Linked DNA regions of Caenorhabditis elegans. The protein of the gene in region 2 purifies or fractionates together with the protein of the main gene of each other region. This does not show direct contact. Each region holds a gene or a part of one and is shown on either strand. Other genes may lie near its edges.

The links.
Region 1: the proteins of ZC581.2 (region 2) and kgb-1 fractionate together in Caenorhabditis elegans (co-fractionation; one large-scale study listed by BioGRID). This does not show direct contact.

What each region holds. Positions count from the first base shown.
Region 1 is NC_003282.8:405,031-412,050, reverse strand, and holds kgb-1 (GLH-binding kinase 1), read left to right. Parts: upstream 1-2,017; 5' UTR 2,018-2,094; intron 2,095-2,178; exon of another isoform or gene 2,179-2,289; intron 2,290-3,154; 5' UTR 3,155-3,164; coding exon 3,165-3,230; intron 3,231-3,273; coding exon 3,274-3,365; intron 3,366-4,015; coding exon 4,016-4,145; intron 4,146-4,188; coding exon 4,189-4,304; intron 4,305-5,012; coding exon 5,013-5,097; intron 5,098-5,146; coding exon 5,147-5,318; intron 5,319-5,487; coding exon 5,488-5,748; intron 5,749-5,794; coding exon 5,795-5,901; intron 5,902-5,959; coding exon 5,960-6,103; 3' UTR 6,104-6,430; downstream 6,431-7,020. UniProt on the Caenorhabditis elegans protein: Mitogen-activated protein kinase which is an essential component of the JNK pathway composed of mlk-1, mek-1 and kgb-1.
Region 2 is NC_003279.8:6,653,816-6,659,108, reverse strand, and holds ZC581.2 (non-specific serine/threonine protein kinase), read right to left. Parts: upstream 3,502-5,293; 5' UTR 3,395-3,501; coding exon 3,363-3,394; intron 3,313-3,362; coding exon 3,192-3,312; intron 2,979-3,191; coding exon 2,765-2,978; intron 2,551-2,764; coding exon 2,366-2,550; intron 2,081-2,365; coding exon 1,983-2,080; intron 1,941-1,982; coding exon 1,778-1,940; intron 1,735-1,777; coding exon 1,612-1,734; intron 1,191-1,611; coding exon 1,121-1,190; intron 863-1,120; coding exon 840-862; 3' UTR 738-839; downstream 1-737. Other genes in the region: ZC581.3 (CPG4 domain-containing protein), read right to left, coding at 3,806-4,077, 4,123-4,333, 4,805-5,293.

The DNA.
Region 1 (7,020 bases), on a different chromosome or scaffold from region 2:
AAGGAACTATTTTTTTATTTCTATGTATAATTTTCTTGAGAAGAAGTTTTTATTTTTTAAATAGATACAAACTTTTTTGCGTTGAAGAATTGTTCAAAAAGGTAGTTAGGATAGACAAAAATTCAAATTCAAAACTATTTTTCCAATGAAATTTATTATTGTTTGATCAGTGAAAAAAGTAATATAGAACATCTTTTGTACAGTACACTAATTCGATTTGTGTGCATCTTTACAAAATTGTCTCCTTCATCCAAAAATTGGATTCTAGAAGTAAATTTCATAAAAACAGTATTCTATTATTTTTGTTACGAAAATATTTCACAATTCTCGGAAGAAAACGAGATGATTGTGGTTATTGGGTAAGTGTTCAAAGAATATACATAGAAGTTCCAAATTTAAAGGTGGAGTAGCGTCTGTAAGTTTTTTGCCATAAATGACAGAATAGAGACCCAATATACTAAATATAACTGTTAAAAAATGTAGAAAATGTATGAAATTTTTCTAATTTTTTAATGATTTTTTTCTTAATTTTACAAAAATTTAAAAAAAAGGACTGAATTAAATTTGAACTCCCGCGCAAATGAGTGACGTCATTTTCGAAACTTTTGCGTTTTCAGCCTATATTAATAGGTTTTTCTTCATTTTTCCTTTGTTTTATAATTTGAAATACAGTCTGTCAATTTTTCAGACTAAAAGAAAATGTATGATTAATTTTGAATAATTAAGCCAATTTCAGAGTTTCGGTAAGTTTCTTCGCAATTATCAAGTTTGAAAAATGTTTGAAAAATTGAAAAATTATGTTTCAAATTATAAAACTAATTGTAAGAATAAAGAAAAACCAATTAGTTTGGCCGTAAAACACAAAATGTCGAGAATGACGCCATTAATTTGTGCGAGAATTCAAATTTAAATCGGCCTTTTTGAAAAAATCATAAAAAATTTATTATTATTTTTTGATTTTTTAACAGTTATATTTGGTAAATTGGGACTGTATTCTGTCATTTATGGCAAAAAAACCACTACTTCACCTTATAATTTAAAATTATCCAACTCACTATCTCTGTGTTTCATTTTAGCATCGAGTTATCACTTCCGATGACTAACAAATGGGAAATCTAAGGAATAATGCAGAGATTGAAAAGAATTAGAGAAACAAACAGACAAAATCAAGTATTATTTAACAATTGTAAAGAACAACCAAAAAACCCCACAGGAAAGACCACACAGAATGTGGACCCACGACTTTGGGAGATTAGGCACCTACGAGATTTCATGGCCCAAGTTAATTGGGTAGCGCTTTGAGTTGTCATAAATGTTAATAATTGAGAAAAAGATATTTAAAACTTAAAACGTACATATTAAACTTATTTCTTATAGAATTTACTTTCAAAGCTTTTATTATAGGCGGTCGATTTGTTCTACGGCAACTCTATTCTCCAAAACAGAGTGGTGTCTCTTTTCTGTCTGATTCTCTACTTCTCTACACATTTTCAATCCTAGGTGTGTCTCTCTCTGAAGGATGAAATCTCTATTTCTCTGCATCTCCTATTTGGCTTCAGCCTATCGCTTCTCTTCCGCACACAAACATTCACTCAGTGACGTAACTTTTAATACCTACACTATTTCTCTCTTTCGCATTGTCAACTTATATATATATATATGTATATAGATCATTCCTGTACTATTTAATTTTTAATTATAACTTTTTAAAAAGGTTATTTATGATTTAAAAAAAACAAAATCTAAAGTGTCTTTAAAGTGTAAAAGTAAAAATTGGCAGGCTGGGTATACTGCCTTTTTTCTTCAAGTTTTCGAATCTAAGTAAAAATAAAAAATTTCCCCTGCTTTTTTAATACAATTTTAGTTTGAATTTTACTTGTTGAGAATAATAGACTTCAATTATCTCGATGCAGTATTATGTATTTCACTAATAATTAACAGCAAATACCTCAAAATTACCCCGAACTCGAACTATTGCTAGAATAAACCATTCGAGTAACCCGTGTATTTATTGTAGAGTTCGTGAGAAAAGGATTAAAGGATTAAAGGACGATCCGTTCTTCAAGCGCTATGCACTGCGGATCTGGGAGTCAGGTACACTGCCTGGTGGTGATCCCACTAAAAAAGTAATTAGAGTATTATAGAAAAAATACGATCGCCCAAAAATAAACAACGGCGCAACGACACTCCGCTGTTTCTGAGACCCGCCCACGATTTCATTTGCACTGCGGCCGACACATTTCAGTGCAAATGAAATCTTGGGCGGGGTTTAGAAACGGTGGAGTGTCATTGCGTCGTTGTTTATTTTTGTACGATCGTATTTTTTCTATAATAAAGGTTTAAAAAAAAGAAACACACTATTGGATGTTACATTCCAGTCAACTTGATACCTAAAATATTTAAATTTTCCATTGAAATTAGTGTTGACTTTTGTTTCCTAAATACGAACATCCTTTCAAAACCAAGCGCAAAAAGTGTAAGATCATTCACAACTGAAGTCAAATTTTTGAAGTGTGAACATTTTTTGCGTCATGCAAATATGAAATATGAGTTTATGAGTCGATTAAAAAACATAAAAACCCAAACAAAAACGCTGAAATTTCATTAAATGTTAAAAAATGACTTCTTTATTACAAATCCAAAGTTATGATTAAACATTTAAAGATTAGCTGCAAAGATTATTTATTAAACTACATATCTTTCTATTTTTAGTCTATTTTTTAAACATTGTCAGGTTTAGTTTGCACTTCAAAAAATGAAAACTGTATTTCACTAACAATATGTACATATATCCCCTCCCTCATTTTTTTTCACTCCAGAAATGGAAAGTCAATATTTGGAAAGAAAATAATTTTCCAAACTGTTAGAATCTCCGTTTTTAAGATTTATTGATTTCTACGTGGGTTGAAATGACTCAGTTTTGATGAAACTCAACAATTTTAAGGCATTTTTATCAGTTCCGGTTGGAAAGGAAAATCAGAAACATTTTTGCAAGTGATAAGAATTATGAAATTTTTATAGATTTTTTCAAACGTTTATTTGGAAATTGAAATTATACTTTTAAAAATTTAAGAAAAGCTGAAATTTAATGACTAACGTTTATATTTAATTTTTGAATTTTAAGTATTTCTCCCTGAAACTAATAACTTTTTAGGCACAATAAGATGGAAGTGGATCTGCCGGTACATAACGAGTATGATGCGTCTAGATTTCATCAAGTTACAATTAGGGTTTGTTACTAGATACTTTACCTCCATTCAAATTCATTTTCAGGACCCGATAGCCGGCGCGGACAGCACTTTCACTATTCCAACTCGTTATGTAAACCTTAGTTTTCTGAATGCCGGCGCCCAAGGAACTGTCGTGTGAGTTTTTACTAATTACATTAATATTTTATTGAAGGAAAAATAATAGGGCGAATTTTTTAACGCAGTAAACAAAAAATTTCAATAGACAAACAAATATTAACACTTCAAAGATGTTAATCAAAGATTTGATAGATTGCCAAATTTTCGAATAATTTTTACTTTTTCAAACATTTCACACTTTACTGCAAATTATAGCCCCAATAATGTTCAAATACCAAAAGATAAAATAAATTTTTTGAAAGAACTATGAATTTTAGTCATTTTAGAAACATATGGCTGGTTTCAGAGAATCCTTTCTCTGGTCGTACTCCATCTTTGAATGTCTCACTGCCTTTCAATTGTATATTTTTACACTTTAACTTTTCTTCGGTTTTGCGTAATTTCAAACACTGACACAATGATGACTTCCCGAAAAAAAACGGACCGCCCTATCAAAAAACTTTTAAAACAGGTAGAGGTCTCGAGATCATTGTTATTCGTCATTGCCCGCTGCTCCACCTCTAAGATTGAAAAAGCTTGAAAAAATCAATAATCAAGAAGATCTTCTAGAAGAATGAAAGTGACTGAAATTAAATTATCGCGCAAATGACTTCAAACAGAATTTCTAAGTTAAGTGAACAGCCATAATTTTTATTGATTACATTTAGAATGGCCGATGACCTAGTAACAACGCAACGTGTGGCAATCAAGAAGATGCAACAACCATTTGTGATGACAATGAGCGCAAAGCGAGCATATCGAGAGTTTATACTGCTAACGACTATCAAACACCCAAATGTAAGATTCAGTTGGAATCTAGAAAAAATGCTCCAAATTTCAGATAATCCGTCTACTAAACGCGTTTACACCGGACACTTCACTTTCAACGTTCCGAGAAGTATATCTAGTTATGGAATTAATGACACACAATTTGCACGAGGTTATACATCGATTAAGGTAAGAGACATGGTGGCTGATTTTTATGATTTTTTTTCAGTAATACCAATTTTTATAGTAATATCTAGTATACTAGACGTAATTTAAACTGTATATGATGGACTTGTTAGAGACTAATAGACGTAAAATATTATTTTTCTGTTATTGATTTTGAGAACAAAAGAATAAAAATAAAACAATAGGAAAAGCACGATATCTTAAAGAAGGAGTGGCGGATTCATTTTTGCTCTAATAAACTCAGAACGACTCCAAAATATCAACCTTTTTTGTCTCAATTTCACGTTTAATAAACATATTCAACAATAATAATAAGTTTATTGCTGACACTTTTCAACAAAAAAAACTTTTAAAAAAAGAAAGAAACAAGGGCAAAAGCTAGACTTTCAATTTTGCCGTCTTTCGCGTTTCCCAAGGTCGGAAATACATTTTTATCCAACCTTGAGTACCCACTTGGAAATGTGCCGAAACCATCATCAAAACACGCACAGTTAGCTACCAGAACACGCGTAAAAAAATAAAAAAAATATTCCAGCGTGTTTTGAAAATTTTTGGTCAAGATTTTAGTTAACTACCAAAAATCAGAATTTTTAAAAAAGTTTAGAACACTTGCACATTTGAGCTCCTATTCATGATTGTTCAATGATTCAATGATTGAATATTGAATATAAACACATAATTAGATTCTAAAAAAATTTTCTGAATTATTAGATTGGACCATAAAACATTATCATTCTTCGTCTACCAGAGTTTGTGCGCAATCAAGCATCTTCACAATTCGGGAGTCATTCATCGTGTACGTATCTACCACTATAGACAACATTCTGAAAAATTCAAAGTTTCAGGACTTAAAACCATCGAATATTGTCGTCAACGATCGATGTGTATTAAAAGTTTTAGACTTTGGATTGGCCCGGAAGAAGAATGTGGACACATCGATGAGAATGTCAGATTATGTGGTGACAAGATACTACAGAGCCCCCGAAGTTATATTAGGTCTTCCCTATTCGGAAAAAGGTTTGTTCGAAAAAAAAAAAAATTTTTGTAATTTTGGGCTGGACTTCCATCTGCGCTCCGGTGAGCCGCCTCAAACAGCCTCACGCCGTACGTATCCGCATGTAAAGTGCGCGTAAAACCCCAAACGTGTCGGCCGCTTCCAAACAACACTCTCAATTCATAATTGCAGTAGATATTTGGTCAGTCGGATGTATATTTGCTGAAATGATCAACCATACCGTACTTTTCCCTGGAAAAGATCGAATTGATCAATGGACTAAAATTTATAGTGTTTTGGGAACACCAGATGATCATTTCATTAGTCAATTGGGTCAGTCAGCTGCTATGTATGTTCGATCGTTGCCACGTCATCAGGCACGAGCATTCAGTGAAATCGTTCCTGATACCAATTTTCTGCCGGAGACTGAAAATCCAAGGGTCCATTTGACACGTGAGTCAGGCTATACAGGATTTTGAAAAATAAATCATATTTTCAGCACACGTGGCTCGTGATCTCCTGTTCAATATGTTGAAAATCAATCCTGAAGAAAGGTATTCAGTTGAAGATGCACTGAATCATCCATATGTTAAGTTGTGGTTTAAGGTACAACAATTTTAGCACTAAACAAAAACAATCAAATCATGCATCTCAAATCTTACAGGACGATGAGGTAAACGCCCCCGCATCAGAAAATCGATACGATCAGGAAATTGATTTTGCCGATAAGACACTTATTGAATGGAAAGAGCTAATTTTCAACGAAGTGCAACGCTATCAAGCCGACCACGACATTTTCACTGGATAATAAATAATAAAAAACCTAAAATTGTTTCTTTTTCTCTCAAAAATAATTGTGTTACTTTTTTCTTCAAAAATCTATCTTTCAGTTGTGTTCTGTCACTTAGTTGGCCATATTTTCTGGTGATTCTCTGCTTATTTTCTATATTGATTATAATCACTAAATGTTAATTATTTTGGAATACAGATTTTTTGGAACTGTTTTGTTTTAAGTATAAGAAATTGAACCTTAGCTCCACAAAATTTGCATCTCATTATAAAGTAGGGATTGTTTTTCGATTGTATTGTCAGGTTTAAATTCAAAATTCTAAATCAATAAATTAATTTTTTAGGGACCAGGTCCCCTATGAGGTCGCCACAGCGGCGCCCGCGCCGGCCTCACAGCGTCAATCACAGTGCATGTATCCGAATATATAGTGCGGCAGGGAACCCGATCGTGAAGTCCGCGCCTCACTTAGCTGGGAGACCTATAGGTTTTTTTTCTTCAAAACGATGCTTTAATTTTTGTTCTCAAAAACAAAATGAAGCCAAAATGGGAATCCAGAACGACCGGACATTAAATCACACAGATGGACAATGGTGGTCTTGAATAAGTACATTTATTTCACAAAAATTGAACATTCAGTAAAAGATGAGGTTTGAAGACTGAAAAGTGGGCTGGACAACAGAAAATCGACTTTTGGGTAGTAAAAGATTTTTGATATAAAGATGGGAAATAAAGTATATGGACATTTGGACAAAAAGAGAAACAGAGACGCCTTGAAATGTTTTCAAATGATTCTTTTAGTATTCTATTCTAGAATTAAGAAAAGCGGATGGAAAATATTTTTTTGGAATCTTGATATTTTGTAAGTTTGAACTTTTGGGTTTTGGAATTCCGAATTTTTGTTATTATCATATTATTTTTTGAAAAACCGGAATTTA
Region 2 (5,293 bases):
AGTTAGCTTGTGAACAAGGTGTTGTTTTTGTTAGATTCTGACCGACGGAGGCGTTCTCCACGTCTACATGTACTTGTTCCTATCGCGCCCTGATTATCAATTCGTGGTAACGGTGCCTTTATGTAATCTGTTCTATAATTTTTGGATCGAACACATCTCCAAGTTATTTTGACTTTCTTTAAACTCTCAAACTCTATATTGAAATAAATTTTGATAGAAAATCTTTTAAAAATTAATCAAAATGGCTGTTGAATCGCGCGAAACTTTTTAAAACAATCTTGAAATTTCTGAAGAAAATGTTTCAGGTGTTCGATAGCTAGTTTGAATAATTGTTTTTTTTAATGTTTTTACCAATTTGAGTCCAATTTTTGACTATCTGCGCAAAACTACTGTAAGCTTAGATAACATTTTTCGAAATATAGTCAAAACCGATCCGCAGAGGCAAACAATTTACTGAAAAGTACCCGCTTTTGCTGATGCATCTTGTGTCCACATCCTGATGGACACCCTATATAATGTGCGCAGCAAAAGAGCGGAGCAATTTTTCCAAATATGTTTCAACACGGCCTTTTCTCTCTCAAGCAAAGTCAAAATTCCAGGACGCGGCGGAAAGGAGGGCCTACATGGCTTCATTGTCCCAATTATCGCAATTGTCAAGAATGTTCTAAAAGAATCTTCTAGCCAACGGCTTAAAGAGCATTCCCTACTTTTCCGGTAGTTCTAGGTAAGTCACAAGATCATTTGATTGTATTTATTTGTAATACTCAAGTGGAGAGACAACTGTCTAGTGGAAAGAATGGAGTTCAAAGGAAGGAACATACAAAATCACAAAAGTTCAATTACGAGCTGTCAGTATTCGAGCCTGAAAATATGTTTAAAGCTCCGGTATTACCGGTACAGATAGTGTAGATAGTTAGAGAGTGCCAGACATCCGGGACCCAATGGGACGGGGCGCGGAAGAGACGATTTGTGCCGATTTACGAAATTTTCCTCGTTGTCATCATTTCGTAAATCGACACAAATCGTCTCTTCCGCGCGCCCCGCCCCGTTGGGTCCCGGATGTCTGACACTCTCTAACTATCTACACAATAGGGAAAAGAAAAAAATAAAACTTTCGTACTTCCAAGTGCATCACGATAGTTTTCATCCCAGTCATACGCCTCACGCAACGATTTTCCTCTGGTCATGTCCTGGAAAATTAAATTGTTATAAATCAATTTTCAAGCAGCCAAAATTTGCAGCGCCCGCACAGGTTTCATTTAATTTGGAGAAAAGAGCACAACGTCAAACTATGATATCTCAGTTGCTATTATATCTATCAACAAAGTTTTCACTAACAAAACGTAGATCTTAAAATTTTAAATACTTTGCAGTTGTGAGCTCTCTATTGATATTTTAGACAAATATTGTAGGAAAACAGTACCAACTTCGAAATATCTAGTGCGAGATACTAGAAAGAGTTCAGCTAACAGGGATTTTTGTGAAATTTATATACTGGTTGAAAACTTTTTGATAGCTCTGTTGGTGGCAGGGATTTTAGTTTTTTTAAAATTCAAATTACGTTTTCTACGTGGTAAGGAACAATCACGATCAGTTCAGAATTTAACTTACACAAAGCAAATTTTGCAATGAAGAATGATCGGGCTCATCCTCCGATCGCAAATTGAAAATCGCTCCACAGAACACGGAGAAATAGGGTCCGGTGAGCAGCAAGTATGGAGAGTTTGGAGTATTCTAAACAAACATTTTAAAGGTACAACTTTTTAAAATCACGTACAAAGTCCACTTTAGTCTGTCGGATGTCATCAGTGCTCACCAGTTTCCAGGGAAGGTTGACAAGGAGAAGCTCAGCCCCAGAGTAGGCCATTGACACAAAGTCATCAACTGGGGTCTGTTCTTTTCCATCGTGGACACGCACAGACGAGTAGCGCAGTGTCCCTCTGAACAATTTTCTGAACTTTCTGGGAACAATTTAAAGTTACCTAAAACCAGGTTTGTATCTCTGTTTACGACGTGTTCCATCCACGTTCTTGAATCTTCGAACCATCCCATAGTCGACTAGCTTGAGCACATGACGAGTCTGAAAATTGGCAAAACCTGGCTCTAACCTGCTCAAATAGCCGTAACCCAAACAATCTTTTAGGCATTAAAAAAACTACCGTTACCTAGGCATTAAAAAAACTACCGTTAAAAACTACCGTTTTTATACAACGTTATGCTTAGAAGTGGTGGTATACTAAGCATAAAAATGCAACATAATGTCACGTTTCAATTATATTAGCAGTTTAAATAGAAATATGTACATAAATGGAGAATTTATTTTTGGAAAACGGGTATTACATACATAAATATCAAATATTCTTACACTTTGAGTAACTCCAAAGCACATATTTGCAGGTTTCACGTCTCGGTGAATGTAACCAAGAGAATGGACATCCCGAAGTGCAGCGATTCCTTGGATCATGATTCGTGCGACTGTGGTTTGGCTCAGACGTTTTACTGGGCTTCTTTTCTTCAGATCACCAATGTTTGGACCAAGAAGTTGCATTACTAAAAACTTGACTGTTTTTAGTACGCACCGCTTTTGCTGTGAACTGGCAAAAGTCGACTGCGCGTTGCAAAATATTATAAATGTTATGTTTTGCAACATGTTAGAAAAACTTTTTGATAACTTCAAATCCCGCGAAGATGTACCGGTCGCTGACTTTCAGTGACACTTTATATTCTGCAACATTGAAAGCTATAAAGCCTCAAAGAAACCTACCAATAAAATTCAATTGCTCCGTGTGTCCCGAAGCGCACATAATGGGAACATGAGGTCTTCCCTGCAGACGGTAGAGAACTTTTTGCTCCAAGATCATTCGTCGTCTTGGCCTTCCTTTCAGGACCACTGGCTCAATTTTGATGACAACATCTTCCGGGAATGTAGCGTCTGAGCCGTAGTAGATTTGGCCGAAACCTCCACGTCCGATAAGCCCCTAAATTTTTTAATTTAATAAAAATTATAAATATTTGGAAGTGATTCTGCGCAAAATTTCACATTGATCAAAGAAGTTTTTGAAAGCTCGAACCGCTTATGAGAACGTTTTCATTTTTAGCATCAAGAAATCATGGGAAAGGGAAAGGCGCAGACGTGGTTTTTTTCAGTAGCCATTTTTGTAGCATTGCTTATTGTTTTGAAAATCCCTTACCTTCACCATAAACTTTCCGCGAAACATTTGATCATTTGACAAATACTCAGAACCGTTTCGATCTTTCAACATCGGCACATATGGCTTCACTTTTGGAATTGCCAATCCATCTATCAAGATCCTGGAAAAATTGAGACCTGAGTTCTGATAAACTTCAAAAACCAAACTTACACAGTTTCTTCAGAACGCTCCAAAGTTTCCATTTAATTTAACGCGAATATTGAGAAAAGGAAATAAATTGATTGGGGAAACTAAAATTGGATACAAGAGGATTTCTCCAGTTTTTCACGTCAAAATTTCTTTTTTAACTTCCCTGACCGTTCTAAAAAATTTTCAGAAAAAATAACAGTACAATGTGCAAAGTATAAACGTGAACGAACTTCACTACGAGTTGTTTTGGATATATTTTTCGGACGAGAAGTTGGGAGACAGACACATCCTCGTAAAATATCTATAGGGTTCTTGAGAACTATCAAGTTTGTTCAAACAAAATTATTAGAATTTATTGAGTGAAATTCGAATGCTACAAAAAACCATACACGTAACAGAATCATGATAATAATTTCTCATGACTTTTTCTTTACATATCTTCAGAGAAGCTGCTGCTCATTTTCTCATACAGGCGGACTTCCTTCGTCTTTGTGCACATTATAACTATCAGTTCGTGTAGAACAGAAGTATGCGAGAAGAAGGAGAAGTACGAGGAAAATGAGACAAGTGACAAGTGCAATGAGCCCAATTACAATCAATGTTTCATTTGTCGATGGGCCACCCGAGTCTCCACTGAGAAGATCATCGCCTTTTGTTGGAGATGTCTCAGATGTTGAAAGTGTGGAAGATGAATTTTTGAATTCTTGACGACGATTTTCTCGTTCTCGTTGTTCGTCTGGAATAATGAGAGATTTGTAACTGACTTTAATGTAAGACACACCTTGATCTACATCCAACTGATCAAAATTTAAAATTGGTTTTACAATAACTCCGCCATGAAGCCATGGTTTCGGTTTTCCACTTGTTGTTTTCTTTGGAGTTTCAGTCGTTTTATAAGATATTGTAGATGTGGACAACTCGATAATTTCATTGGAAGTTGTCTCAACACCAAACAACGTCGATGTATCAATTTCCAGCGGTTCTTCGCTATCCTGAACATTGAAATTAAGTTTACATAATATCGGCATTGAATAATTGAGTTTCGCAAGTTTAGAATAGGTTATATTCAAAAGCACCATTTGAAGAAGAAGTAACGGTAGTTTTTGCTGAAATAATCACACAATGGCTCTAAAACTTCGAACTCGAATGCGACTACTCACAAAAAATCTCAACAATGTTTAAAGTTTTTCTCAACAATGTTTAAAGTGTAATAATCTCAACAATGTTTAAAGTTCTCCAATTTTTTTTTTGGGAAAAGGGCAAAGTTTAGCTTTAATTTCTAATTTTGGTTTTATTAAATCTTTTTTTTTGGAATAAGACATATTTGAATCAAGAAGTCTCATCATGAAAGTAGATTTTTGGTGTATCATTAGTTATTTAAGAAAAAAAACCCAAAACCGTTACTCGTCCTTCAGTTCATGAATAATGTAAGAAATAATAATACAGTAACATTCCAAATATACCTCTAAATCTAAATTATCAGCGACATAATTTGACCGTGTTGTACTGTCATAACGATTTGATGAATAAAAGAAGTTTGGTGGTGTATTCTCCATACTATCTTCCGAAAATACTTTTCGCTTGAGTGTTGTTGTTTCAATTTGAATCTCTTCTCCGCTTTCTTCCAAATCTTCTGATTCATTTGAATTAACAATATTTGGTGGGGTCAAGTTTAAAAGTTGATCTGGAGTTGTCACTTCTACGAGTGCATTATCTTCCGATTGTTTTTCTTTGGAATCAGCGTCCGAATCTGATTCTGATAATCTTGTTTCAATAGATACCACACTAATTGTTGGATGAGTTGTATTATCCGAGTCATGGTATTCATGATCTTCATCATAATGGTGATCAGTGTAATCATGATATTCAGCATTGTGATCCACGTCCTCTTCAGTTTTGTCATTGAGATGTGTTAGAGAGTTGGTGGAAGTACTTGGACTGATGAGTTGAGT